Linked DNA regions of Callithrix jacchus. The protein of the gene in region 1 purifies or fractionates together with the protein of each later gene. This does not show direct contact. Links are inferred from orthologs where the notes say so. Each region holds a gene or a part of one and is shown in the gene's direction. Other genes may lie near its edges.

Region 1 (9,700 bases):
CTTATCACCATTAACATTGTGGACTGGATAGTTCTTTGCCGTGGGGACTGTCCTGGGCATTGTAAGATGTTTAGCAGCATCTCTGGCCTCTACTCACTAAACGCCAGCAGCACCCTCCTTCCTATTTGTGATACCCAAAAATGTTTTCCAGGAGGCAAAACTGTTCCTGGTTGAAAAACATGCCCTTGTCCCATTGTTGCCTATATTAAAGTCTAGCTATGTCCATCTACCTACTACTACTTTTCCATCTACTTCAGCTAAGAACCAGTCAATTCAGGAAATATTTCTAAACACGAGTAAAGTTAAATATTTGATACAGGCTGAGTATCCCTAATCTGAAAATGTGAAATCCAAAATGCTCCAAAATCTGAAACTTTTTGAGTGCTGACATGATGTCACAAGTAGAAAATTCCACACCTGACACCTTTGCTTTCTGGCAGTTCAATGTATATCAACTTTGTTTCACCAATTTAAAATATTGCATAAAACTATCTTTGGGCTATGTATATAAGGAAATCTGAAGCATAAATGAATTTCATGTTCAGACTTGGGTCCCATACCCCAAGATATTATGTATATAAAATTATTCCAAACTCCAAAAAAAAAAAAAGATCCAAACATCTGAAGCACTCCTGGTCCTAAGCATTTTGGATAAGGGATGCTCAACCTGAATAGATGTATGACAAATATCAGGAAATTGAAACCAGGTGCCAAATTTAAATTATTAAGTTTTAGGGCCTCAAGAACACTGTCTAACTTGAAATTCACTAATCTTACCTAATCTGTGTATAATCGTACCCAATCTGTGTATAATCTTGCTTTATGTATATGGTTATTAAGTATTCACAGCCATTCGGGTCACATCAATCAAGCAGGTGCCAAATCCTGAGGTGCTATGTTACACTCTATGTGTGACCAAAAAGCCTAAGATGTATCTCTCCTCAAGAAACATTTTCCAGCCGGGCGTGGTGGCTCACACCTGCAATCCCAGCACTTTGGGAGGCTGAGGCGGGTAGATCATGAAGTCAGGAGTTTGACACCAGCCTGGCCAACATAGTGAAAACCCATCTCTACTAAAAATACAAAAATTAGCTGGGCATGGTGGTGCATGCTTATAGTTCCAGCTATTTGGGAGGCTGAGGCAGGAGAATTGCCTGAACCTGGGAGGTGGAGGTTGTAGTAGGCTGAGTTGCGCCACTGCACTCCAGCGTGGGTGACAGAGCAAGACTCTGTCTCAAAAAAAAAAAAAAAAAAAAAAAAAAAAAAAAAAAAAGAAAGAAAGAAAGAAAGAAAAGAAACTTTGTTTCATTAAACTATAGAAATACATTGTAATGGATTGTCAGATTCTGGGCTGACTTTTCTTTTGGAAACGGAGTCTCACTCTATGGCCCAGGCCATACAGTTGTGTGATCTCAGCTCACTGCAACTTCTGCCTCCCAAGTTCAAGCAATTCTCCTGTCTCAGCCTCCAGAGTAGCTAGGACTACAGGCACACACCACCACGTCCAGCTAATTTTTGTATTTTTAGTAGAGATGGGGTTTTGTCATGTTGGCCAGGTTGTTCTCGAACTCCTGACCTCAGGTGATCCACCCACCTTGGCCTCCCAAAGTGCTGGGAAAACAGACATGAGCCACCAGGCCCAGCCTGGACTGATGTTTTGAAGTAAAATATTCAAGTTTCCTTTGTGTGTGTGTGTGTGTGTGTGTGTGTGTGTGTGTGTGTGTGTAACAAAAGCATACTTCAATTTATTGTCATTTTATTGAAATAAGAATTTGAGAAATAATGCCGTTCAAAGTGGAAAAAAAGTCCTAATGCTCATAAAATTTGAAATGTTTTCAAATTTTGACACCTTCACAAGATTTTGTTTATAGACATACACACAGGAAAAATCATTTAAAAGCCCACAAAGAATCCCATTTAAAAACTCAACTGATCTCTATCAATTATAACAACAACTGATACTTTATTTAATAGCAGTAAACCAGAATAAAGGCTAAAAAACTCACTAAGATCTCAAAAGCAATGTCTTTCAGGAAATGTCTTCCTAGTCCAGGTCTCAGCACTAAGCTTTCATTCTTCCACATAGTTACGTAACTGTGGCCCAGAATGATATCAGAGAAAGTCATTTCTCTGACAAGCCTAATTTACTTATCTATCAAAATTATACAACTTGCTCATAAGTAGTTGTGAAGTTAAAGTAGCCGGAAAGAATTTTGGAGACTAAATAATGAAAGATGTAACACACAATAAGGTGAACAATTTAAATATTCAGTAAGAGCAATGCCTAAGGGTTTAACCTGACATCGATAAAACATATAGTGTGCATATTACACACCTAGTAACCTCAGTGAAGAATTCAATAGAATTTTATTCATTCATTCAAGAATTACTTATTGAGGGCCTACTATTTGCGATGCACCTAGTCTCTGGGGATACAGCAATGAACAAAACATAAAAAAAGCTTGCCCTCAGAGTCCTGCCATTCTACCTGAATAATTCTCATGTAAGAGAAGCTGGATTTCTGGCCTCAAGGACCTAATATGGGCAGAAAAAGCAAATGAAATATATGAAATATGAAGAAAGGACTACAGCGTGAGCGCTGCTCACATTGGAGGGATTTAAGGGAGGGCTTGGAGCAACTAGGAAGAGTCAATGGAGGTGAGACTTGAGACAGGTTTTAAATGATGAAGTTTGATTCAGATCCTTGCAACTCAAAAGTGTGATGTAGGCATCATGACCATGTGAGAGCTTGTTAGCATTGCAGAATCTTGGGCCCACTCCAGACTTGCAAGATCAAAATCTGTGCTTTTGAGGGATCAAAAGAACCCTCGGATTTCTAGGGTTCTTAGAAGTTTAGGTGGCGCTGCAGGTTTCTGGTCAGGCTGGCAATGCTGTGAGCTGGGTTGGTGGGAAATCAAGACTAGATTGGAGCCTACCATTAGGTTAGAAATAGTGAAAGGCTGGACTGGGGGAACTAGGAGTGAGGAAAATGCAGTTGTACCCTTTATCATTAAAAACAAAGAGGAACCACAGAGAAAGTAGTAAATTTATCACCAGGCAGAGGCACCTGCGTCTGAATTCCCAGCTGCACCACTTCTTGTGTGACATTTGGGTCAAATTATTTAACCTGGTTGAGCCTTTTTCTTCATCTGTAAAGTAGGGGGAAATCAATAAGACCGCAGAAGGCCCTTGTAAAGGTTCAGTAAGGTATTAATAACACACAGAAAGCACTTAGCAGTCTCTGGCACAAAGAAGATGACATCCATTAATGATAACGATATTGATAAGAATCATATATTATTCTCTGAAAAAGATGTAAAAGGAAGAAGAGAAACTACTATTTACCACTAGAGGCCCCCCACCGTGTGGTGGTTAGAGACCCAAAACAAACTTCAAAGTAAAGAACTTCATTTTAAACTGGCATTCGACTATTACGTTTTTAAAAAGTAATTAACCCCTTATGTGTTCCCAAAGGTGCCTTCATAATGAAATTCCTGTTGCTATTATTACCAGTGTTACTGTCGCTGTTAGAGTACTCTCAAAAGAGCCTGTCTCCCTCCCGCAGTGGAACTTAAAATGCGGCGGAGGCAGGGAGTTACCAAAATCGCTGCTGTGTATGCCGAATTCAACAACCTGTACTGCTGACGATCCAATCTCATTTCCCAAGCCTCTACTATCCTCATTAACTTTTCTGCTGATATAACATCTGCTTTCCATTTTCCCTCTGCCTTTACACGTGCAGAACTTGTGGTAGAGAGAAGCCCCAGTTTGGCCGTCCTGCAAGTGATAGCCAAAGAGGTAGGGGGAACCTTAGGTTAGAAGTCATCTGAACCATGTCTGGGGTCGGGGAACTCGTAAAGCTTGAGTGTGGCTACTGGTCTGCCCAGAGGAGCAGCCCCCAGCTGAGGAGGCCAGATGGCGGGAAAAAGCGGGGGCCGCCGACTCCGCGGCTGTGATCCCGCCCTAGGCCAGGCCGGGGAGCCAAGAAAGACTTCCAACACTCCCAAGTTTCAACTCAAGTCGTCTCCGAGGGTGCGTGTGCCCCAGCCTCGCACGCCCGCCTGCAACAAGGTCGCATCTAGGACGCCCTCATACCCTCAGGGTTTCCCAAACTCTTCCATTCTCTTCCCAGGCCCAGCCGTGTTCCAGGTCTCCCGTTCGCCGGGTTCTCCTCACCCCATGCCGGGAGAGTCTCCAGCTTCTCAGACTCCAGCAACCCCAGCCAAACCCCTTCGCTGCCTGGAGCCTTGGCTCCCGCGACACCGCCCGGCTGCGGGGCGGGGGCAGGGCCAACGGCGGAACCGCCCCCAGCCGCCTCCCGGGCCAGGCAAGCAGGCGGGTGGCTGGGACGCCTCCACCTCCTCTTCCTAAAGCGGCGAGGCGCAGAGGAGCGGCATCACTCGAGCCCAGGTCCCAGCCACCACCACTCACAGCGCTCGGCGTTCAGGAAGAGGAGCAGCAGCGGAGGCGGCTGCTTCAGTGGCGGGCGGGCGCCAGAAAGGTAGACTGAGTCCCAGGGAGCCCCGCCGCGAACAACCCACCTCCCAGCCCGGGCTACGCGCCTCCAGCCCAGTAACCCCACTTCTGTGTGTCCTTCCAGGCCCCTAACGACAAGCCTGGGAGGGCCGCCGAACTACCCCTGGAGGAGGAGCCAGTCCGAACTCAAGGCGCTACCGCCGCAGAAGCGGAGCGAGGCTACAGTCGCCTCCATGGCCCACTCACCAGTGGCTGTCCAAGTGCCTGGGATGCAGGTGAGGAAGCGCAGGCCGCCCCCCGCCGCCCACGTGACTGCTTGGGAGCCCGGAGCGCTCTCGGTGCTGGGCACCGACGACAAGGGACGGCCCCGGGACTCCCCTGAGGGCTGGGCCGGTCACTCTGGCCAGGTGACCTGGGAGTAGGGCTTGAGGTGTTTCCTGGTGTGTAGGCTAGGTGGTGCTCTTCGCTGGGAAGGCGAGGCGGGACTGGAGCGCGCAACTAGGTGGGGATTGAGGGCGGCTGTGGGGTATAAAAATAGGCCAGAGCCACAGACACCTGCGCCTGTGGAGCTTGGCACGGTTGGGGATGGGAGGGGGGGAGAACTTAACCTGCGAGACATGAAAGTGCCTTGGAAGTTGTGGGGTAAAACGCGAGTAGTGAGTGCCCTACAACCCCCACCCCAAACACGCACTCAAGCTGGGGCGGGGCAAGACCAGGGGTGTCGGCGGCAGCTTGAATTGGGCTCTTCCTGTGTGCGTAGGGCTGAGAGAGAGAGGTGACCTCTTTCTCCCTTTCGGTACTGCTGCTTAAGGGCAAAGTTGTATCTGGCTCCCCGACCTGGCCCAGCCCATAGCGTGGAGCGAGAAATGTTGGTCCTGTTCAGAGTCGCTGAAGTGATGAGTTCCCAGCCCCCCTCCGTGCCTTTCCCACGAGATGACTTACATGTGGTTAAAGTAAGCATATTGTCCTGGACAAGGGACTACTGCATGGGACCCAACTTCTTACTCAAAGTCTACCCAGCCCAACCCCCTCCCATTATATTTTCATTTTATTAAAGGTAAGCCATGTTGGAAAACTTCTCATGCTGTTATGTTTTTAAATCGGTGCACTTTAGGCTATCTGCTAAATGTTATCCAAATCTACCAACTTTTTAAAGTATTCACTTTTTTTCCCTTTGCTAGATAGCCCAAACAACCCATTTATGAATAGTTTAGAGGCTAAAAACAAGAAAGCCTCAGTCTCTCATGATCTAAAAATGTGAAAACAAACTTTTTTCAAGTTCAGAAATAAAATGTTTAGAGTAGCAAATAGCTTATATTTACTGTAGACTTGGGCCTCAATTTACTTATTAGCAGTGTTCTCATTTTATGCATGCCCACAAAAGTGATTTTAAAATTATTTCCCAGAAAGGGATCATTTGTGCACCTAGAACTCCTGGTGTGTCCTAAACATCAGACATTTCAGCTGCATTTAGGGCAAGTCTGGGTTGAGTCTCAGGAAGTTAGTGTATATTAAAGAGAGAGAAAGGGAAATAGGAAATAGTAGGGCTTAAGAAAAAAAAAAGATTAATCCATTCAAGCCTTGCAAAATGTCTCAGACTTTCTTCCTCTCAGGCGGCCTCCCCTCTCTTCCCCCCCCTTTTCCCCACACACCCTGTCCCACACCCCATTCATTCAGTTCTGCCTTTGATTGTATCAAGGGAATTCATAGTTTGCAATACTAAGTACAGTTTTGCCGTCGGATCTGGGAAAAAGTGACATTTTCCCACCGTGCTCTTCTTTCCGTTCTATGGAGAGTGGAACGATGCACACGTGAAGTTTGTCTCTGAGGGTCTCCATGCTTCTCGCTCCATTGTGTGCGTGAGCCTGCGTGTGTGCGTCAGCAGAGTGAGTGCCTCCCGTTCTCAAGTTTGTGATTCTGGGGAACTCTGTGTGCTAAGGAGAAAATAGTTTCCGATCTTTACTTTATTTGTCTTGACCTTATTGAATTTATATGGTTTAGGAACTGCTTACTGTTCAGTATTTCTAAGTGCTGTTCCCTGCTTTGTTTAAAGATCTGAGTTGCCTATCTCTTGAATATTTACATCTTAATTAATGTGGATTCGAATGTGAATCACATACTTTAAATTACAAACTCTGCCTTTCACTGCTGTCTGAATTCTGATTACTTTGTCCCATCTAATCTGAGTAGGGCAAACATCTCAATGTTAGCAGAGAAGAGAGGAATTATTATTATTTTTATTTTTTGGTCATTCTCTTCATCTTAATGAAATGGTAAATTCTTCTTATTTCCATTTTCTTTCTAAATGTACTTCTTAAGCACTTTGTGCAACACATAGTTTTTTCCATAGTTGAAATTGTACAATACCCTAATAATAAATGTGAGAGCACGCAGTGTGACTCTTGAACCTAGACTATTTCTGTTATTGTTATATAGCAAAATATTGCGGATGAGATGCAGAAATTCGTTGCAAGCTTGTAAAATGCTCCTAGAGTTTTATGAAAGCCTTAGGAGCAACTTTTAGATTTTTAGAAAACTTGAGTTAGCCATGTGTTCTTGAAATTACTGTATGGTGTTTCCACAAATCAGGGTGAGGTGACCGGCCAGCCTATAACTTTTTAACAGTTTATTTTAGAGAATTATGAAGATTGATGGGAAAAACGATTTTTCCAGAAATAAAAACAAAATTATCCACAATTTTTTTCTCCCTCTGAGGAGAGACGTGAAGCTACCTGTTCTATCACTTAAGACTTCCAGCATTCCTGACTTTCAAACAAAGAAATTTCTGTTGCCACTAGTTTAAAATAGAAAAGAAACTTGGAGTGAAGAAAGAAAACCCAGGATTTGGTCCAGTTCAAACTCTTCCTTATGAATTAGGTATTCAAACTCATATTGTTGATATTTCTTAATATTGTGGTAATGAACATTTTTGCCATATTACACCAAATGTTGAGGGTACTTATTTTGTGCTTGCTTCTTTAGTGTGTAACTAAAGGAATTTTCCATACCAGTAGCTGAACCCTTGAAAATATTGAAAGTACAACTTAAAAAAAAATAAGCCAATAAACCTTTTCTTTCAACTTAAATATGTACTCTTTCATGATTTGAAGAGTTTTGAACCTGTTTTCTTTGAAGTTTTCAGTTATAAATTATACTTAGTTTTAAGATATTTCCCCTTAGAACCTACAATAGTATTTTTGAGGACAAATTTTCATTTAGAATATTGTTAATAAATCTTTCATAAGATGTAGGTGGAAGAATAAAGTTAAATGTTGAATTAGAGTATTGAATGTTATGCTTTATGCTATGTCTCTTGTTAAAGAAGTTTTAAAGCTTCTGCTAAAGAACTTTAAAATTAGCCTTCACATATCTTTAAATATGAGCAAGGTGGTATAGTTTAAATATAGTTGTTATTTGAGATGAGAAGTAGAAATGGAGTTTAGGGATTAATGAACAGTATTGAAGACTTTTACCGAAGTGGTGGAAAACATTGCCCAGCATTGGTGAATATAGTAACTGGATTCTGGGAAGCATACTGAAGTGTATTACATGTTTTACACTTAAATATCTTAAAATCTTGTTGAGTTGTTAAAGCTAGCATATGAAATATCAAATAATGCAAAATCTGTGAACTCATTGTAAGTATAATAGAAGTGTCTGACTGGAAGAATTGAAGGCTTCCAGAAAGTAAGTCTTGTTAGGATGCAGTCTGGGCAGGGCATTTCCAAGCAAGGAAAAATCCCAAGCAAAGGTTGACAGACTAGGAGTTTTCGAGTTTACGGTGGTAGTCACACAACCATTCTGTTTTTCACTTTCCATACAGTATTCGGTAGATGACATGAGATAGTCATCACTTTGTTATAAACAGGCTTTGTGTTAGATGATGTTGCTTAACTGTAGGCTACTGTAAATGTTGTGAACGCATTTAAAGTAGGCTAAGCCATGATGTTCGGTAGGTTGGGTGTACTGTATTAAATGCCTTTTCAACTGACAATAGTTTCAATTTATGATAGGTTTATGGGGACATAACCACATTTTAAGTCAAGGAGTGTATGTATACAATATGGATAAGGAAGGGTATGCTGCATTTGTGAGCGCGCGTGCACACACACACATACACACACACACACAATCTTTGAGAACAGGATAAAGTCATTTGGGCTGTCATAGAGAATTCCTCTAGAAAAATAATATGAGATAACATCGGAAAAACTGGATTTAGTACAGATCATGGCTGTCCTTAAATGTCAGGGAAGGATTTTGGCCTTTGAACTAGCCATTAAACATTTCTGAGTAAGGGAAACTCAATGTACCAAGTTACATATAGGAAGAGAAATCTCAAAATTGGATGAATGAATCCAACTGGAGGATTGAGAGAGGAGGGGTAGTTTAATCCACAGAAGCTATTTCTTATTTTCTAATTTTTTTTTTTTTTGAGATAGGGTCTCACTCTGTCACCCAGGTTGTAGTGCAGTGGCGCGATTATGGCTGACTGCAGCCGCAACCTCCTGGGTTCTAGCAGTCCACCCATCTCAGCCTCCAGAGTAGCTGGAACTACAGGTGCACGCCACCATGCTGGGGTAATTTTTATGTTTTTTTGTAGAGACAATATTTTACAGTTGCCCAGGCTGGGCTCCAACTCTTGGACTCAGTGATCTGTCCACATTGGCCTCGCAAAGTGCTGGAATGACAGGAGTGAGCTACTGCGCCTGGCTACAGAGGCTATTTCAATGGGACAATCATAGTTATACAGGCACAATGGGCCTTCCACGGGCAGGTTCCCTTCCATATGTTTAATACTATGAAGAAAAAAATTAATTACCAGGCTTAATAATTAGCTAGTTTCAGAAGGAAAAGTTAAAGACTTTGTGGTGTTGAATATGGGGGAACTGGGAGAATTAGGATCCATCTGAAAGAGATTGGAATGTAATGGAGAAGTGCCAGATCTGGTAGGAAGTTAATGATTTCTGTTCTAGACTTGTGAATTTTGTGGTAACAATGGGATGACAAAGTAAACATGTCCAACACGTAGTTGAAGATGGAGCTTTGGTTATTCATCAGATATTTACTGAGCATCTACTCTATGCTAGGTACTTCACTTGAAAATGAAGGACTAGAGACACCACGGAGGGAGACGTTCATAATGCCAGAAAGAATATGTGGAAGTGAGGGCCCTCATGAGACAGGACACATAGGTCGTAAGAAGAGGAAGGATGGCTTTAAG
Region 2 (9,659 bases), on another chromosome or scaffold:
TTCCCTTTGGCTTGCTTCCTACACGGCAGATTTTATTTCCTAATTATGTTTTGCTTTAGCTTAGGTAAAATTAGCCTGCATTCCTTTGGCACTCACCAACTGCAGTTGGTGGAGGAGGCCTTCCAAAAAACCATAGATTGTTGACAAGAGTGGCTAACTAGATTAGAATTAAATTTACGGAGTAAAATCCACAAAAAGCCTAAGGCACATATAGATAAGTTGACTATAAGGGAATGTAGTTAGGTCACAGGAAGATCGTTTCTGGCAATGGACACTCAGCTCCTCTGTACTCTTTGTCATGGAGTTCCTGATGTCAAGATTTGGGGCTTCCTAGGTTGGTCACCGTGCTGCAGACAGGGATAAGCATGGTTTGCAGTATTTAAATTGTGTAACTGTAGGCTCACAGATACAGTCAGAAATGATTTGCTACTCCGTAATTTTGTCATTTGGCAATACTGACATGTTGACATACAGTTTGCTCTTTGGAATTAACATAAATGTTGTCATTTTACCAAAATAAAGAATTCTCTTACTCCATGATGGAAACAGTTTTAGGCTATGTGTATATTCCTTTATCTTTTCACATTGAAGGAAGCATCCTGTTGTATCATTATGTATAACTCTGGGTTTTTGGTTTAGTGGGTTGGAGGATGTGGCTGATGAGGCCAAGGACATGGTTTAATCAGAAAACCACTTGGCTCCCAAACATTTATCTACATTCCTACTTTCAAGAACTAATTTCCCTGGTCATTTCACCCTTAGAGAGTGTGCTATAGCTCAGCACAAATACCTCTATTCCAGGGTTTGGAAAATAATTAGCCTCAAATTATTTAGTCAGTGGGTCATCAGCATCATTATTACATTCCAAAAAAAGAATGTAAATTATAGTTTTCTCTATTTGCAATATAGTCAATATTACTCCTTCCATTTTAATGCTGAAAGGAATTTACTGATTAAGAATCACGATTCATTTTTGTTGAAGGGATTTATTTTCCTCCTGTTTATACTTCTATCTCACTCCTTTTTTACCCTGCCTTTCAGTAACTTTCACTGTAGCCCTGGGATGTCTTCTTAAATTATTATTATTAATTATCATTATTATTTAGCTGTTTAATGAGGCCTCAAAAGATTTAATTTCTGGAACCATCCAGTCACTACCCTTTCAGATCTATTTGCTTTGACTGTAATAGAGCCTGCCTTTGTGCAAAGAAAGTCTCAGAAAGAGTTAATTTGCAATAGTAACAGAGGCTTATTCTCAAGAGAGAATTCAAACCAGCAAGTGTCTTCCTGGTGGAGAAGCAGCCCCAGGCCAGGCTACTGGTGAGGAAGTTAACTCTTAGTGTGCCACTTCTGTGCAGTCGGTGAGATCCTCAGCCAATCTTCAACAGTGCCAGTTTTAAGGTAGAAACGGAATGCTGTCAATTCTCCTTCCAAGGTCCTGGATTTTGGTGGTCAGAGAATGTGGCGTCCTGTGATTTTTGTCTGTTTTCTTTCCATTTCACAAAAACAAACAAAAAATGATGGGGGTGGGGGTGGGGAACAGGGACTGATTTCCATGTGGCATGATCCTGCTTTAATTGTATTTAGGTGAATACAAGCTATCTTTACCTAATGACTTTTTCTTAATTGGGCTGCATGTATAAAAGGGATTTGCTTTCCAGAGATAGTGTCATTTCATATTTCTAGCTCTTAACCCTGAGTAAAATTTATTATCTTATTCTTTTTTTTCCAGTTAATTGCTTGGGGAGTATTCAACATCAGAATCAAGAAAATTGATTGTCTTGCAATGTGTGAAAATGCATTTTGAAAAGAACAAAGAATGCTCTTGGACTTTAAATTTTTACTATCAACTTGACATCTTTTACTGTCCAATGCTTTTTTTTCATCTTAAAGGAATCTAGTAATTCTAATATTGAGCAGTTTTAGAGAGTATACTTAATAAAGAAAAGTGGTATAATGAACAGGGATGGATATTAAAGGGATAAGAGAGGAAGTAACTAGCAGAGCCAATAAAAATAAATAAATAAATAAATAAATACCTCTACTCACAGGATAACCTGGAGAGGATTTCTAATCTTCCGACCTTTAGCCCCAGAGTTCTAGGTAAAGTTCTTTCTTCACCTCTCTTCTGGAAGAGAACTTTTCACAATTTATTACTCAATCCCTTTCATGGTCTTTGTAGAAAAGGTTTTCTCTGCCCGGGTTTGTGTCATATTTAGATCCAATTTGGAAAGTGGAGCAATTAAATTCTCAAAATCTTTCATTAAGACCTGCCATTAAAAAAAAAAAAAAAAAAAAAAAAAAAAAAAAGCTTTGATCTGTAACTCTTGGACTGAACATTCCAGTCATTCATCTTCCAGAATTTCAAGTGCAGGATTTGGTTGTGGTTTGATTTTACTTTTTTGAGACAAAGCTTGAATGTCTCAATTTGATTTTATGCATTCGACACATTTTTAGGGATCTGGTGATTTGGGAAGGGCTGTACCATATGGTCTTGGTAAGGTGATAGATTTTCACATTCTGGAAATTGGCAGCAAAGGGTAGGAAATGAGTTAGATGTGGGAAGGGAAGTCTGAGTGTTTGGGCCTAATTCACTCACCTCATGAAAAGTCTTCTGAGTTGGGTAATTCCCATAAAATCTAAGTTTACAAAGATGGTTTTTGATTGTTTTTTGTGTATACGTACACGTATCCTCACACGTAGGGAATAATTTTTTTAAACTCTCAAAAGTAGAGGGCATAACATTTAGCTTTTAAAGCTATGACATTTAACACTTCTTGGTTAGTCCTTCAGAAGAGACCTCAGACTTGAGGGGTCAAAGAACATAAGACAGCCAGATACAAGTTCCCTGAAAAGGAGATTACAGAGTTAGGTGCTGAGGGGCCAGTGCCATGCACTAAAAGAAAACAGAACAGACACATCGTTTTCATCTGAGGACTGTTTTTGGAGAAGGACTAGAGTCAAGATAGAGTAAGTAAATCAGAGCCAGGTGTATATACACATACATTGGGAGGGTAAAAACACCCTGGCGGCGGTGAAATTTAAGAAAGCAATTTAAGAAGAAAGGGGTGCCTTGTGTGATTCCTCGGGGCGGGATAGAGGGAGCTGAAGTGTAGGATTTTCCCTGATCTTTCAGAGAATTCAGTTTCAGGAGGCCTGACATTTAATCCGGTCTGTGCAAGGATTTCTCGGGCTTGGTGGGGGTTCTGCGGCACGCTTTCTCCCTTCACCTCTTCCCTGGTCTTTGATCCCTAGCCAGTGCGCAGAACCGCAGCGGAGTCAGGTCGTGCGCCCATTTCTCGCACCTCCACAAGCCCGCGGCTGGCCCAGCAGGGCGCGGGGCGGGACCGAGGCGGGGCGCTCCGGCGCACAGAGGGTTAAGCGGCGAGGGCGGCGGCGAGGGGCGGAGAGAGCTCGGCGACTCTCGGCTCCCTGCGCCCGGCTCCCGGAGCCCGCGTCCCGGACAGCAGCGGGTTAAGCGCCGCCCGCGCGGAGAGGGCTGAGTCCGGAGCCGCGGCTCCGAGCTCGCATTCGGATCCGCTAGAGCAGGAAGATGGCGACTGACGGCGCGAGCTGCGAGCCCGACTTGTCCCGGGCTCCAGAGGACGCGGCGGGGGCAGCGGCGGAGGCGGCGGTAACCGAGTTCCCGGGGCGGGTGTGGGGCGAGTGTAGACGCGGGCAGGGGGCGGCGCCGGGGCCCCAGCTGGACCGGGCTCCGCACCGCCGGGGCGTTCTGTAAGCCCGGGACCCTCGGGTGCCCCTTCCTCGGGGTGCCCGCAAGGCGATGCCGGTGGGAGCGGAGCGGCCACCCGGGCTGGGGCTCCGTTCTGCCCCTTCCGCGCCCCTGGGGAGCGACCCCAGGTCGCCTGGTTCTCCCAGCCTCCTGCGTGCGTCCCACTCGACCCCTTCGCCCACTCCCTCCGCTGCGGTGGATTCTGGCGGGGGGCGAAGGCTGGGACGGGTTTCCTGGCGAATTTGACCCCCCATTGTTCACCTCTCGCTGCGCGCATGGTTGCGAGCGCGTGTCTCGCGGGTGCCTGGTACCTCTCAGCGGACCTGGGAGAGCTTCGAGGGGGAGGCGGGCCATCGCCCAGCAGGTGTGGGGATGCCCATTGTGTGCATCTGTTCCGGTGCCTTCGGGAGGCCCTTTGGGAGAGACCCCGTGTCCAGCTGTTGGCGCTGCTGCCGCTGAGGCCAGCGCTTTAGGTCCTAGCAGCCTGCTACCCCATCACTTGGTGGTGGTGATTGGAGTGGGGTGAAGGGGTTGGTTCTTCCCGAGGCAATGCCCGGGCGAGGTGGAGGTTCTGCACCTGGTTTCAAGACATTGTTCTCCTTCTTTGGGGTCTAGAAGGCCAATGCGCTACCATTTATAACTGGTCCTCACTTTCACCCCCTGAATATCTCCGGGCAGATACTCACTGGTGGTTTCCAGCCTCTACCTTGGGGGAGGGCTGGACCCACATTTCCCTGGTGGAAAACGTTCTCAGTGTTTGGGAAGCAGCCTCGCAGGAGCTGCAAGGATCTGCAGAGAAAGGCAGATCTGTGAGCGCCTCCCACTCTTGGCCCGATCTAGCTGCTCTTGCCGGAGGATCGGGGTGGGTTGGAGCGAGCGGGGCGTAGACGCCCCCTCCCTTCCTCTCAAGACCTGAGCAGAGTCCGTGCAAAAGCGGGAGAGGGCAGGGCCAGGCATAAACAACCAGGGCCGCTTTAACTTCCTCCCACCCTCTGGAGGTAGGGCTTTCTGGAGAGGGAAGAGAGATGTGGAGGAAGGTACTTGGGGTGAGAGGAACTGAGCCTGGGAGTGGAGGGAGAAACAGGGGGAGGAGGACTGCTGATTTCCACTTGTAAAACTGGCAAGTTTTGATTTGAACTTTTCGGAAAACGAACTTTTGTGAAATCAGAGCTTTAAGATTTCCAACGAAACCTGGCCACTTAACGTGAATCAGCTCCCCTCTGTGGGGCACAGTAAGGAAACTAGCTATTAAGACAAGGCTCTCGGGGAAGTGGAAATGATTTGGTGCCTTCATCCCCAAAAGGTGGGAAGGAGAAGAAAGAGGAAAAAGAGGGTGCGAGGTGTGTGTGTGTTTGTAGGGGTGCCTGTGTAGGGGTGTGTGTGCAGGTGTGATGTGTGCGCGCGCAGGGGTTCGTGCAGGGGTGTGTGGGTGTGTGTAGGGGTGTGTTTCTTGTTCCCCAGGTTTAATTTGTTTACTTAATCTACTTAGAATGGGTTTCTTTCTATTACCCTCTATTTTAATCACCTGACAATTAACCCAAACACAAACATCTGATTGATGGTCTGTAGAGCTGATATATAGTTTTGTTTAGTTAGATCATAAACAAAACTTTGGTCGCCAGGAAGATTTCTGTGTTAACAAGGTCAGTGTTCCCTCTCTGCCGTTTAAAATTTTCAAGTCTGATTTTCACTGCTGATATTTGGGGATTTGATAATTTCACCCTTGTTAATGGGCAGAGCCATGGAAAATCTTCGAAAGTGAACCTTCTTTGCTATTTCCGTAGAATCCTTTAGGGTTGCCAGATGCAATAAGGATTCTTCATCTAGTAGTTAAAAAGAAATAAACTTCTGACATTTTAGTAAAATTTCGATGATGTCTTCTTATGTAGTAAATTGGGCATTTTATTTTACTTCTCCAGTTTTGACTTAATAAGGCATGGTTCTCTCATATCAGCCACTTGACTTGTAGATTAATTTTGAAATGAAAGGAAAGCTAGTGTAGAGGAGTGATATGTGTCATCACAGTTGCTCCTTAAAAATCAAAGGCGTTTTAATGCACGTTGGGTTCTTGTTGACTGAGAACTTAATTTTTATTTTAGTGAACAATTCACTTTGCATTTTGGAGATTTATTTAATTTCAAATCAGTTTACATATTGTACATTTTTATGTATACATTTGGCAGTAAGGAGCCAATGGAAGCTCTGAAGCAGTAGGCTATTTTTGAAAGTCAGTGTTTTCACTAAGCTTTGACTATTTAGATTGTTGCTTAGAAACAAGCTTAATTTATAGTTTTCAGTTTAATATCATTTTTAGTGGAATGTTTTAAATTTAGTTTGTGATCCTCATTCTTAGCTGTTTAAATCCTAAAAGCATACCAAGTTTAAAGCTGGGTAACAGTTACATTATTTAGTAGGACTGTATTAATAGTCTTTGCCATGAACCATGCCGGGAAACCTGGGTTATTTTCAGTGCCTTAGCCAAATGTGATGACTTTTATAGGCCATATTGCTGTTTCTACTCTGAAAATAACTCCTAATGGATAAGGCAGTATGGAAAACAGAAATCTTCATACTTTTTATTGTCACCAAATAATTTGGGAGTGAAAGGAAAATGGAGATCTTTTTAGAGTTATATTTGGAAAGCCAACCAACATTCTTGCCATTCTGGGCTTTTCTGGAGCAGCTAATATGCAAGAAGTAGGTATAAAATTTGTTGTCATGGTGACAGTGACAAAGAAAAACTTGGACAGTGATTTAAAATGCACAACAGTGATGTTAAACAAATTAACAGCTGGCACCTTGAAATTTTTGTTTTCCAGGTGACAGGGTTGAATGTAAATGCACAGAAGATAACTTTTATAGCCAATTTCACTATGTTTTTTTAAAAAACTAAATTATAGATATATGGCAGCTATAGGATGTTGAAAGTTTTGCAGCTTAATGTTTTAAATAGGAAATAACGTAGATTTAACTAACACGTTACTGAGCATTTACAGAGATGCAGGCATCATAAGTATCATCTTTGCTGCCCTGAAGTAATACATCCCAGTGATAGAAACTGACATACACCAAGGAATCAAATCAGAGATGATGGTGTTATGAGAGGCACACATGATTTTGCATTAGAAGTTTGGAGTGCAACTTCAGAGAGGATCCCCAGTGGATGGATCTAGAAACTTCCAGAGAAGGATGGCATTTGAGGTAGACCTTGAGATTTAAGGATGATTTGGACTGGCACTGCAGGAGTGTGCAAATGTGGCCATATCCTTGGGAGACATATGTGAAGGGCTTTCAGCGATGAGCATGGAGGTTTCCATTTTTTTCTTAGCTATGTGGTTCAGAAAAAGAGCTTGGAAGTTGAAACTGACTGGAATATTTTTCCAAAGACGAGAATATAACTGTTTTCAGTGTCCTGCTTTTCTCTTTTTTTTCTTCTTAAATAATAGGCCGTACATTTCTGTTTGCCCCAGTTTTTGGACTTCATTATTATTGTTGCTGTCATTGTTACTGTATTTCTCATAGGAGCAGTTTTGTTTAGAGAACATTTGTCTTCTCAGTGATTGAACCCATGCCTCAGTTAGATTGCCAGTTGGTTCTATCCTGGTGTGTTTCACATAACTTTATGAGGTGAGAAAATGTTTCACAGACTTGGTACTTAGATTTGCAAATAGCTGCTGTTGATCATGTGCACAGCAAGGCTGTGGCTGGGAGAGAGTGGTGTGACGTTTGTAAAAGAAAGCAAAGGTGCTAGCACAATGCCAGGCACATGGTAAGTGTTCCCCAAGTATTTACTAAATGAAGAAAATAAAAGGAAGCTCACCAAGAAGTTGTGTCATAAAACTTAATGATGATTGGCTAATTAGAAAATTTACTGTGTGTTACCAGCTAGCTTATAATGAAACTATTGGCCTGTGACTTGTAATAATTAACATTATAGATATCACAGATGTTGATCCAAAAAGATGACCCTAATTCTTAGTTTTAAAATTTTTCATCTTAATACTGCCCGTTTCCAAGCTGCTTTTCTCAGTAACTTCTTAGATTCTTCATAGGGGTTTTTTAAAAAGTTTAATTTCCAACACTATTAGTTTTCTCTTTAGATTCTCTATTTTCAAAATGATGATTGAGGCCGCACCCCTGCCATCCTGCATCCTTCCAATAATAGAGTCAAGGCCACATCACCCACTGGGATGTGGAAGAGAGGATGATTAATAGGGGGTTAAGAGAAACATGGAGAAGTTTGGAAACAGGAAAAGGGAATAAAAGGAAAGATTGGGCAGGAAAAAGGAGATTAGGCAAGACTTTAGAATAGTCTGCAATTGCACAGAAATGTGGAACTGGAGTAGTAGCCCCAACTCCGTTTACTTTGCCACCCAAGCCCATCTGAGTATTGCGTTAGAAGGAGACTTTATTTGAACACGTTCCATTACATTATTCTCTCTTGGTGCTCCTTTGCAAAGCTTTTATAACATGAAAAGAGATTTGTCTTGTTTCTTGGTAGTTAGGTAAAGAATCAGAGAACAGGTACGAGAGAGGATGATGATAACACTGATAGTGAAAGATTTTTAAAATTTTAATGTTTTAAATAACTTACATAAATAATGAGATCATATTATTAATGCTGTGTATGGCATGATGCCTTCCATACAGAAATCCTGATTTTAGAGGGGGGAGATACTCTCTTTAAATAAATTATTAGTAACCAACTAATAGGTTGGGGATCCATTTAATAGGTCATAGAAATGTAGTGTAGGCTAGGTAACATTGCTATGTGGAGTGGCTACTTGTTTGCAAAGATTTGGTTTTGACATATTATATTTCATTGAAAAGACAAGATGGTTCCAAAGGACTGCCTCTTCATTTGGCCCAGCGTCTCATTTGAAAGTCAGCATGCAGACATTTGCCACCAACAGATAATCAAGACGATATTCTTTAATGCATTATAAGCTTCTTAAAGGTTGGTTATTACATCTGAATGTCTGCTTGCCTGTGGAGCTGATCCATGTCCCGTGTTGGGCTGATGTAACATTGGAAAGCTGAATTAGGGTCAAAATAGACGCTTGTTTTATTTGAGATGTTGTCCTTTTTTTCCTAAGGAGGAAACAGAGACTGTGGTGAGATCTGAAAGGAGGGAAAGGGAAGTAGTTGGGCCTAATTATTAGAGGCTGTCACCCCTGACTGAGCCACTTTTCTGCCATTCTTTTCAGCTCTCTCTTAGTTAAAATTAGTTACACTCATTACCAGGTTTCCTTCCTGACATCGTTTCCTTGTCAGTATTACCTCCTTTCAATACACTGAGTTTCTTGTCTTGCATGAAAGACCCCAGACAGTGTGATTGATATGAGCTGAGGTACATGGCCTTGGAGAGCTGACACCAAATAGACCCCATCTTCTCGGTACTATATGTTGTTTTAAAGGTGAACATCAAACTGCTTCCCTAGTTTAGGTTAGTCTAAATATTTTTGAAATACTGAATGATCTAGTACAGTTACTTAGTTGCCTCTAGAGTGGGCTGAAACATTGTATCTTAGTAAGATGGTTGTAGATGAGACTCGTTGCAAATTTCTGTTTTCATACTGTATGCAGTAGACATTTTATACCAAAGGTGTATATGGTGGGGTGGGCGTAGGGGTAACACGTTGGATAAAATCAAGTGAAGAAGTAATATTCTTACTGTCCTGACACATCTAGTAGGGGTGATAAAATAGAATTAATAGATTTAATAAGTTTAATATGAGGAAATGCTCAAAGCTGGACTTGATTAACTGCCAAGTGAAGATTTTAAGACTGGAGAGAACAGGAGATTTCTGGAGTCTGGAAAGGCATTTAAAGGTGAGGTTTGAGCTATGTGCTAAAGAAAGCTAGGACTCAGATGAATCAGAGGAGAATGAAGGACTAGGAAGAGCATCATCAGAGGTATGCAATC
Region 3 (9,824 bases), on another chromosome or scaffold:
GGCAGTGGGGCAGTCCACAGAGGGCAAGAAAAAGTAGGGTGCGGCATCATCTTACCCAGGGAGTGCAAGCAGCCAGGGGCCTCCCTCCCCCAGCCAAGGGAAGCCATGAGGGACAGTGCTATCTGGCCCAGATACGATGCTTTTCCCATGATTTTTGCATCCACAGACCAGGAGACACCCTCTTGTGCCTACACCACCAGGGCCCTGAGTTTCAAGCACAGAACTGGGTGGCTGTTTGGGCAGACATGGAGGTAGCTGTAGATTTTATTTTTCATACCCTAGTGGTGCCTGGAGCCCTAACGAGACAGAACCGTTCACTCACCTGGAAAGGGGAACTAAAGCCAGGGAGCCAAGTAGTCTCACTCAGTGGTCCCACTCCCAGTGAGCCCAGAAAGCTAAGAACCACTGGCTTGAAATTCTCACGGCCAACCAAGCAGTCTGAAGTCGACCTGGGATGATCAAGCTTGGGGTGGAAGGAGCACCCACCATTACTGAGACTTGAGTAGGTGGTTTTCCTTTGACAGTGCTGAGGCCATGAAGTTCAGACTGGGCAGAACTCACCACAGTGTGGCAAAGTGGCTGTGGCTGGACTGACTCTCTAGATTCCTCCTCACTGGGCAGGGCATCTCTGAAAGTAAGGTAGCAGCCCCATCAGGGGCTTACTGATAAAACTCCCATCTCCCTGGTACAGAGCACCTGGGGGAAGAGGAGTCTGTGAGCACAGCTTCAGCGGACCTAAACATTTCTGCCTGCCAGCTCTGAACAGTGCAGCAGATCCTGACAAGGAGGATTCTCCCCAGCACAGTGCTTGGGCTCTGCTAAGGGACAGACTGCCTGCTCAAGTCTGTCCCTGACCCCTCTGCCTCCTGACTGGGAGAGACCTCCCAGGGTTGACAGACACCTCATACAGGAGAGCTCCAGCTGGCATCAGGCAGATGCCCCTATTGGATGAACCTTCCAGAGGAAGGAGCAGGCAGCAATGTTAGCTGTTCTTCACCCTCCACTGATGATACCCAGACAAACAGGGTCTGGAGTGGACCTCCAGCAAACTGCAGCAGACCTACAGAAGAGGGGCCTATTAGAAGAAAACCTAACAAACAAAAAGCAGCAACGTCAACATCAACACTAACAAAAAGGACCTCCACACAAATACCCCAACCAAAGGTCATCAGCCCCAAAGATCAGTGGTAGACAAAGCCATGGAGATGAGGAAAAAGCAGCACAAAAATGTTGAAAATTCCCAAAACCAGAATTCCTCTTCTCCTCCAAATGATTACTACTCCTCTCCAGGATGGAGAATGAGTTTGATGAACTGACAGAAGTGGCTTCAGAAGGTGGGTAATAACAAACTCCTCTGAGCTAAAGGAGCATGTTCTAACCCAATGCAAGGAAGCTCAGAACCTTGATAAAAGGTTACAGAAACTGCTAACTAGAATAACCAGTTTAGAGAAGAACATAAATGACCTGATGGAGCTGAAAAACACAGCATGGGAACTTTGAGAAGCACACACAAGTATCAGGAGCTGAATCAATCAAGCAGAAGAAAGGATATCAGGGATTAAAGATCAACTTACTGAAATAAGGCTTGAAGACAACATTAGAGAAAAAAGAATGAAAAGGAATGAACAGCTGGGTGTGGTGGCTCACACCTGTAATCCAGCTCACTGGGAGGCTGAGGAGAGCAGATCACCTGAGGTTGGGAGTTCGAGACCATTCTGACAAATATGGAGAAACCTCATCTCTACGAAAAATACAAAATTAGCCGGGTGTGGTGGCACATGCCTGTAATTCCAGCTACTCAGGAGGCTGAGGCAGAAGAATTGTTTGAACCTGGGAGGTGGAGTTTGTGAGCCGAGATCGCACCACTGCACTCCAGCCTGGGCAACAAGAGTGAAACTCCGTCTCACACACAAAAAAAAAAAGAAAGAAAGAAAGGAAAAAAATGAAGGAAGGAAGGGAGGGAGGGAAGGAGGGAAGGAGGGAGAGAGGGAAGGAGGGAAGGAGGGAGAGAGGGAAAGAAAGAGAGAGAAAGAAAAAGAAGAAAGGACAGGAAAGAAGAAAGGAAAGGAAAGGAACGGAAAGGAAAGGAAAGGAAAGGAAAGGAAAGGAAAGGAAAGGAAAGGAAAGGAAAGGAAAGGAAAGGAAAGGAAAGGAAAGGAAAGGAAAGGAAAGGGGAAAGAAGGGAGGGAAGGGAAGAAGGGAAGGGAAGGGAAGAAGGGGAGGGAAGGGAAGGGGGGGAGGGGAGGGGAGGGGAGGGGAGGGGAGGGGAGGGGAGGGGAAGCAAACAAAGCCTACAAGAAATATGGGACTATGTGAAAAGACCAAACCTACAATTGATTGGTGTACCTGAAAGTGATGAGGAGAATAAAACCAAGTTGGAAAACACACTTCAGAATATTATCCAGGAGAACTTCCCCAACCTAGCAAGACAGGCCAACGTGCTAATTCAGGAAATGCAGAGAACACCACTAAGATACTGCTTGAGAAGAGCAACCCCAAGACACATAATTGTCAGATTATCCAAGGTTGAAATAAAGGAAAAAATGTTAAGGGCAGCCAGAGAGAGAAGTCAGGTTACCTACAAAAGAAAGCCCATCACACTAACAGAGGGTATCTGCAGAAACCCTACAAGCCAGAAGAGAGTCGGGGTTGTCAACATTCTTAAAGAAAATAATTTTTGGCCAGTTGTGGTGGCTCACATCTGTAATCCCAGCACTTTGGGAGGCTGAGGAGGTGGATCACCTGATGTCAGGAGTTCGAGATCAGCCTGGCCAACGTGGAGAAACCTGGTCTCTACTAAAAATACAAAATTAGCCAGGCGTGGTGGCACGTGCCTGTAATCCCAGCTCTTTGAAAAGGTTCTTATGAGGTGATATTAACTAATCCTTGTGCTTTTGAGCTACAGGGCTTTACACATATCTCATCCAAAGAAGGCACCAACTCCTGTCAGTATCTGACACTAAACTGCAAAGGTGACAAAGTAAACTGCTTTCATGAGGCCCAGGGACAGTCTTGTGTTCAAAAACATTACAATTCATTTAACAATTTTGCCTCTATCTGAATTAGTATAATTTATTCAGTGCCTTGATACTAAATCATTTAAATGTTTAGCTACCTATGAACTTCCTTTCCTGTCATTCTCAAAAGTAGGCAGGGTTTATGACCTTTGTGTTCGAAATGTTACTTCTTTCTGTTTTGTTTTACCTACAGACTTTGAAACTATTCAATCCCTCCAGGCCAAAAGACTAAAACATAATATTGTAAGGGCCAATACTGAAGGCTCAAATTAGTTCAGCCCCTACAAAACAAGGATGGCACACAGATACCAACACAGCTCAACAAAATGCTTGCGGTTTGTACGGGTAATTGTGACAAGCCAAGATTACAGCAGCTCAATGCACGGAATTTATAGATAAGACAATTTTGTGACCTTGCCTTTTGGCTTTTGGTTTTTGGCTCTTAACAATCCTTAAGTGGGGGTTTAAGGTTAAAGAGTGCCTGCCCACCTTCCTCCACATCTGGCCTAGAACATTTAATTGACTATAAGTCTGTTAATCATAGGAGGGACATGATGGACTCAGGGCAGGTAGCACATCACCCTGGCATTGATATGGGACGAAATAAAAGTTTGGAAATTGATACTGTCTCTGGGATACCTTGACAAAAAAAAAAAAAAAAAAAAAAAAAAACGGAATGCTGTTTTGAAGGCATGAGCCTAACCACGCCCCATCTGCGAGCATGTGATCAGTAAAACTGCTTTCGTTTCACCGCACCTCGCTTCTCATGTTTTTGGCCTCTAAACAGCAAGCAGCCAGATGTGAGCCAGTTGCAATAGCAGCATTATTTACAATAGCAAAAGATGGAAGCAACCCACTGGATGAATGGATAAACAAAATGCAGAATATACAATACAATGGAGTATTATTCAGCCTTAAAAAGGAAGGAAAATATAATATGTGCTACTATATGGATAAAACTTGTGGACATAATGCTAAGTGAAATAAGGCAGTTACATAAATACAAATGCTGTATGATTTCACTCATGTCAGGTATTCAGGAAAGTAGCATGGTGGCTGCCAGGGGATGGGGAGAAGAAAGAATGAGGAGCTACTGTTTAATAATGCAGAACTTCAGTTTTGCAAGATGAAAGAGTTCTAGAGATGGATGCTGATGGTGGCTGTATAACAGTGTGAATGTACTGCTATTAATACTACTGAACTGTATGCTTAAAAATGGCTCAGATAGCCGGGCGCGGTGGCTCACACCTGTAATCCCAGCACTTTGGGAGGCCGAGGCGGGTGGATCACGACGTCAAGAGATCGAGACCATCCTGGTCAACATGGTGAAACCCCATCTCTACTAAAAATACAAAAAATTAGCTGGGCATGGTGGCGCGTGCCTGTAATCCCAGCTACTCAGGAGGCCGAGGCAGGAGAATTGCCTGAACCCAGGAGGCGGAGGTTGCGGTGAGCCGAGATCGCGCCATTGCACTCCAGCCTGGGTAACAAGAGTGAAACTCCATCTCAAAAAAAAAAAAGGCTGAGATATTAAATTTTATGTGTATTTTACCACGATTTTTAAAAAATTAAATGAAAATAGGTCAGGTGCGGTGATTCACGCCTATATTCCCAGCACTTTCGGAGGCCGAGGCAGACAGATCACTTGAGGCCAGGAGTTCCATACCAGCCTGGCCAACATGGTGAAACCCTGTCTCTACTAAAAATAACAAAAATTAGCCGCATGTGATGGCACATGCCTGTAGTCCCAGGTTCTTGGGAGGCTAATGCAGGGGGATCGCTTGAACCCGGGAAGCAAGGGTTTCAGTGAGCCGAGATCACGCCACTGCACTCCAGCCTGGGCAACAACAGCAAAATTCCGTCTCAAAAAACAAAAATTTTAAATTAAAAATTAAATGAAAATAAAAACTATGAGTAACAACCCACATCGATGAAAACCAGTAGGGAAAGGAGAACTTCCTACTGCCCAGTTAATCATGGCCTGACCAGCAGGCTGTGGGAATTGGAAACCAAGGGCGTGGCAAGGGCAGGTCTGGGGCTCCGCGCTGGGCAGGACTGCAAAGAAGCCACAGGTTCCAGCGGGTAAACCCGCAAACGGGACTGCTATTGCGCAGGCGCAAGACACCTTTTAAACGTGCCCGGAAGTGACGCTTGTAATGCTGAGACAGACTCCCAGATCTCAGCAAGTCGCGTAGCTGAGCCCGGCAGGTCCAGTGGGGTCGTGCCGCTGCTATGAGCTGCACCATCGAGAAGATCCTGACAGATGCCAAGACGCTGCTGGAGAGGCTGCGGGAGCACGATGCGGCCGCTGAGTCACTGGTGGATCAGTCGGCGGCGTTGCACCGGCGGGTAGCCTCTATGCGGGAGGCGGGGACGGCGCTTCCGGATCAGGTCAGGCAGAGGGTAGGAGTCCAGTGCTCTCGGATTCTGGGCACTGAAGGGTGGAGAGCGAGGTAAAGTGGGAACTCGGCCTGGAATTGATTCCGCGTCTCAGAGGGCGGCGGTGAGACATTTTTCCTGGGTCGGGGCTGAGAAACCTGCCCCGGAGCGCTGATTTCTGCCTCTTCAGTTGCATCTGCCGCTGTTCTCTACTTAGTCTGTCTCTGTTTGTCCAGTATCAAGAGGATGCATCCGATATGAAGGACATGTCCAAATACAAACCTCACATTCTGCTGTCCCAAGAGAACACACAGATTAGAGACTTGCAGCAGGAAAACAGAGGTTAGTCGGGCCTTTTCATATCTGGTAATAGTTTGAAAGGTATTGCAGAATTGCCCTAACCGTTCACAAAAATGTACATATATTTCCAGGTCAGTACTTTTAGTAGGCGAGTCTTCCTGTGCTGGCCCGGTAACAGCAAAGGTTTTTAGATTACCCTTTTCAAGATCATCTGACTGATTTTGTAGCAGCTTACCAAAGAGCTGCTAAGTAGAGTTGAATTCTTGCAAACTTTAATGTTTAATAAGTATTAATGAAAATAAACACTAAAGGTAAGGTTTAAGGTTTTGTTTATGTTCTTGTTCATGCAAGGGAAGCAGCAGAATGTTATTTTAAGGGTATATATTCTTCGGCTTGATTAGTATATTATTAATAATTGTAGTATTACTAGTTGTTTACCAGCGGGGTTTCACAGGTATCATTCTACTGTATTCTCCTATCTTCATTTTTAGCTATTTATTACAATGCAGTTAAGAAATACACTCAGAGACGCTAAATGATTTACTTACAAGTATTAACGAAGCAAGTTACAGAACTGAACTCAAACCCGTGTCTTCTGATGACATATCCTTTGTTGTTTCTGCTTCTCTGCCTAGAAAGTTATCTTTCACATAGACTTTAACTGTTCAGTTTTGTGGACTTAAACCCTGATTTACAGCTTTGGATTCATATTATCTCTATAGTGTTACAAAATTCCAACTGTTAAGACTTTGGATATGGGAGCGCTCTCTCAGACATCACTGCCAAGTTATTTTATTTTTGATAGAGCTCTGGGTTTCCTTGGAGGAACACCAGGATGCTTTGGAACTCATCATGAGCAAGTACCGGAAACAGATGTTACAGTTAATGGTTGCTAAAAAAGCTGTGGATGCCGAACCAGTCCTGAAAGCTCACCAGTCTCACTCTGCAGTAAGAAACTTTGAATAAATTCGAAATGAACTGAATTGAAATCTTGAGATTGTTCATTGTGTGCTTGTTTTTGTTTTGTTTTTTGAGATAGGGCCTGGCTCTGTCGACCAGGCTGAGGTACAGTGGCACGATCTCAGCTCACTGCAACCTCTGCCTCCTGGGCTCAAGCCATCCTCTCATCTCTGCCTCCTGAGTAGCTGGGACTACAGGTGTACACCACCATGCCCTGTTAATTTTTGTGTATGTGGTTTTTTGGTTTTTGGTAGAGATGAGGTTTCACTGTGTTGCCCAGGCTGGTTTGAAACTCCTGTGCTCAAGCAATCCATCTACGTTGGCCTTCCAAAGTGCTGGGGTTACAGGCATGAACCACTGTGCCTGGCCATGTGTGCTTGTTTTTGAAGAAAAGTAAGCTTGTTTTCCTTTCATGTTTATCACGTTTGTTGTTGATTTTGCCATGGCTTTGTAAAGATATGAATAGAAAGGAGGAGGATGGGGCTGCTCAGGTCCTTTTATTTGAGTAGGAGTAAGGTACCCCCTCCCTTACCAAGATCTCTTTTGAAGATGTTCATTAATTCTTAGCTCTCCCACCAAACATAATGCCAGTTAGTGTTGAAGATGCCCAGTAAACACTTGGTTGCTTATTCTTTATACATCTCACTTAAGCTCCTTTGTTGTAAGGAGCATGAATTCATATTTTATTCCTACCATAGTACCTGACATACAGCAGGCGGTCAGTAAACATTTTTTAAACTGAACTACATAGCATTATACCATGTTGTTAGGGAAGAGAAGTATGCTTTTTTTTAAAAAAAAAAACAAAAAAACAAGCATGGCATAGTTTCTATACTTTGCTTATGATCTAATTTGAGAGACTCAGTAATTATTCTTATGCTTGTAGGTGCTTCGTAGATGTCATTGTACATTCATGTGTACTGTATGATTTAAATCTAGATGTGTAGATTGGAGCCTACTATATGCTACTGTGAGATGCAGTGAAAGATAAGCTTCGTCTTAAACTCCATTGAATGCATTTTACTGACTTAAAAGTTTTAGGAAACAGATATTTTATAAATATTTGAATGGCTTTCATCTGGAATAGAAAAGTAGATTTTATTTTTTCTCTTATGGAGGAAAAAACTTGAACCTTGAAAGAGACAGAGTTTACTCAGATAGATAAACTTTCTAAGTGATATGTCCAAAGATGAAATGTAATAAGCTTCCTGCCAATTAACGTATTCAAATTTAAGTTAGCCACTTAGAGATAGTATCCAACATCCAATGGGTAGTTAAACTACAATTGATTTTTCAAAAAAAAAAAAATTATCTGTGAATACCACAAGGTCACTTGACTATGGCTTTATATCTGAGGACTAAAATTGTAGTGAAACTCCACTGTAACTTCTGTAACATAGATTAAATGAACTTTTAAAAATCATAACACACACACTCTTACGTTCTTTATTTCTATAGAACAAATGATTTTTTCACCTTTGTTTCCTTAATATCTCCACAGGAAATTGAGAGTCAGATTGACAGAATCTGTGAAATGGGAGAAGTGATGAGGAAAGCAGTTCAGGTGGATGATGACCAGTTTTGTAAGATTCAGGAAAAATTAGCCCAATTAGAGGTAAGATTGTTGTCATTTTGGGTTCACAGTATTTCAGAGTTTCCAGAGTCTGGAAGATACACCCTCACTGTCCTATCACTGTAATATATTGATGTTTTCTGTGTGTTTATGATTTAAAATTAAAACTCCTCCTTCATACCCTATGAAGAAAGAAAATATAGTAAACAGCAATCAAAGGAAATACCAACTATGTATTGGCAAGAAGTTGAGATATCATGCGAAGGTAGTGGGAGTGGAGGGGAGAAGTTATATGTGAGATAAAATCCTCATCTGCCATAATAAGAAGGGAAATAGGTAATACCTAACTAAAATCTTTGATCAGGAAATAGCAGTATAAATGTATTATTTAGAATTATGAATTAAATACCAAAAGAAATAGATAAAATAGTGGTTGCATTTGGGGTGCAAAGCCAAAGAACCGCTTGTATAAGCCATGTAGTCTTGATTTCTTAAAAGCTATGCTTATGTCATATTTTGATTAGAATAGGAATATGTTACAAAAAAGGGTTTGGGGTATAGTGTGCCCATAAAATTGTTAAGGAAAAACATTTCAATTTTGGGAGGTTAAGGCAAGTGAATTGCTTGAGCCCAAGAGTTCAAGAGCAGCCTGGGTAACATGGCGGGACCCTGTCTTTACAAAAAAAATACAGAAAATTAGCCAGGTGTGGTGGTGTGCTCCTGTAATCCCAGGTACTTGGCGACTGAGGTGGGAGGATCACATGAACCCAGGAAGTCGAGGTTTCAGTGAGCCACAATCACATGTACCACTGCACTCCAACTTGAGCGACAGAGTGAGACCGTCTCAAAAATTTAAAAGAAAAAAAAAAGCGAAGCATTTCAGTTACTGGTTTGAGTGCTGCTTATTACAAGGTGCTGTCCTGGGCCTTTTGACAAATACCAGAGAGAAAAAACAGGTACCTACCCAGAGTCTAGTGGAAGGAATAACCCTAGTACTTATATGATATGAAATAGTATGTGTAAGTGCTAGGAGACAGATACAAATACTGAAGGAAGCACTTCATGGGGTAGATTTATCGACTACAGGCTCTAATCTCTTAGTTACTCTATCTGCGGCTTCCACACATCTTGGTGAAGCTAAAAATGCTTTGGTTTACCAGAATTTTCTGCAGAGAATAAGGATGAAGAGTGCAAGCTACCCTGTCTAGAAATCGAAGGTAGTGACAGGTCCCAAGTAGTAATTAGGAGCCAGTGAAATGATAGAATGACCTTCTATTTGTCCCCAATTTCCTCACTTATGGAAATAGCCCTAAGGAAATGTGGGACAAGTTCTACTTTAATACTTCATGTAGAAAAAACATGACCACATTCAGACCCCAGCAGTATCACATCCAAGTTGTCTGAATTTTGACAACTTTTTGGAATTTTGTAAGACAGAGTATCCTCATCTTAAGTAGAATATGGATGTAGGCAATGATACCCTACCCTACGGGTTATTGTGGGATAACATATACAGTGCACCCATGCAGTACCCAGCTACATGCTTAATAAGCCCCTTTTCTTCCGTTTCTCTAGAACTGTAAGATATCCAGGAG

The links.
Region 2: the proteins of STK26 (region 1) and CTTNBP2 purify together in Homo sapiens (affinity purification with mass spectrometry; 4 studies listed by BioGRID and IntAct, with this or other methods). This does not show direct contact. The link is inferred for Callithrix jacchus from reciprocal best matches to the Homo sapiens genes STK26 and CTTNBP2.
Region 3: the proteins of STK26 (region 1) and SIKE1 purify together in Homo sapiens (affinity purification with mass spectrometry; 4 studies listed by BioGRID and IntAct, with this or other methods). This does not show direct contact. The link is inferred for Callithrix jacchus from reciprocal best matches to the Homo sapiens genes STK26 and SIKE1.

Annotation. Positions count from the first base shown.
Region 1 is NC_133524.1:127,579,554-127,589,253, forward strand, and holds the start of STK26 (serine/threonine-protein kinase 26), read left to right. Parts: upstream 1-4,395; 5' UTR 4,396-4,501; intron 4,502-4,600; 5' UTR 4,601-4,709; coding exon 4,710-4,751; intron 4,752-9,700. UniProt on the Homo sapiens protein: Serine/threonine-protein kinase that acts as a mediator of cell growth. Modulates apoptosis. In association with STK24 negatively regulates Golgi reorientation in polarized cell migration upon RHO activation.
Region 2 is NC_133512.1:88,458,969-88,468,627, reverse strand, and holds the start of CTTNBP2 (cortactin-binding protein 2), read left to right. Parts: upstream 1-3,527; 5' UTR 3,528-3,553; coding exon 3,554-3,634; intron 3,635-3,945; exon of another isoform or gene 3,946-4,097; intron 4,098-4,566; exon of another isoform or gene 4,567-4,731; intron 4,732-4,735; exon of another isoform or gene 4,736-5,009; coding exon of another isoform or gene 5,010-5,036; intron 5,037-9,659. UniProt on the Homo sapiens protein: Regulates the dendritic spine distribution of CTTN/cortactin in hippocampal neurons, and thus controls dendritic spinogenesis and dendritic spine maintenance.
Region 3 is NC_133508.1:152,758,674-152,768,497, reverse strand, and holds the start of SIKE1 (suppressor of IKBKE 1), read left to right. Parts: upstream 1-5,172; 5' UTR 5,173-5,249; coding exon 5,250-5,420; intron 5,421-5,632; coding exon 5,633-5,738; intron 5,739-6,501; coding exon 6,502-6,644; intron 6,645-8,157; coding exon 8,158-8,271; intron 8,272-9,824.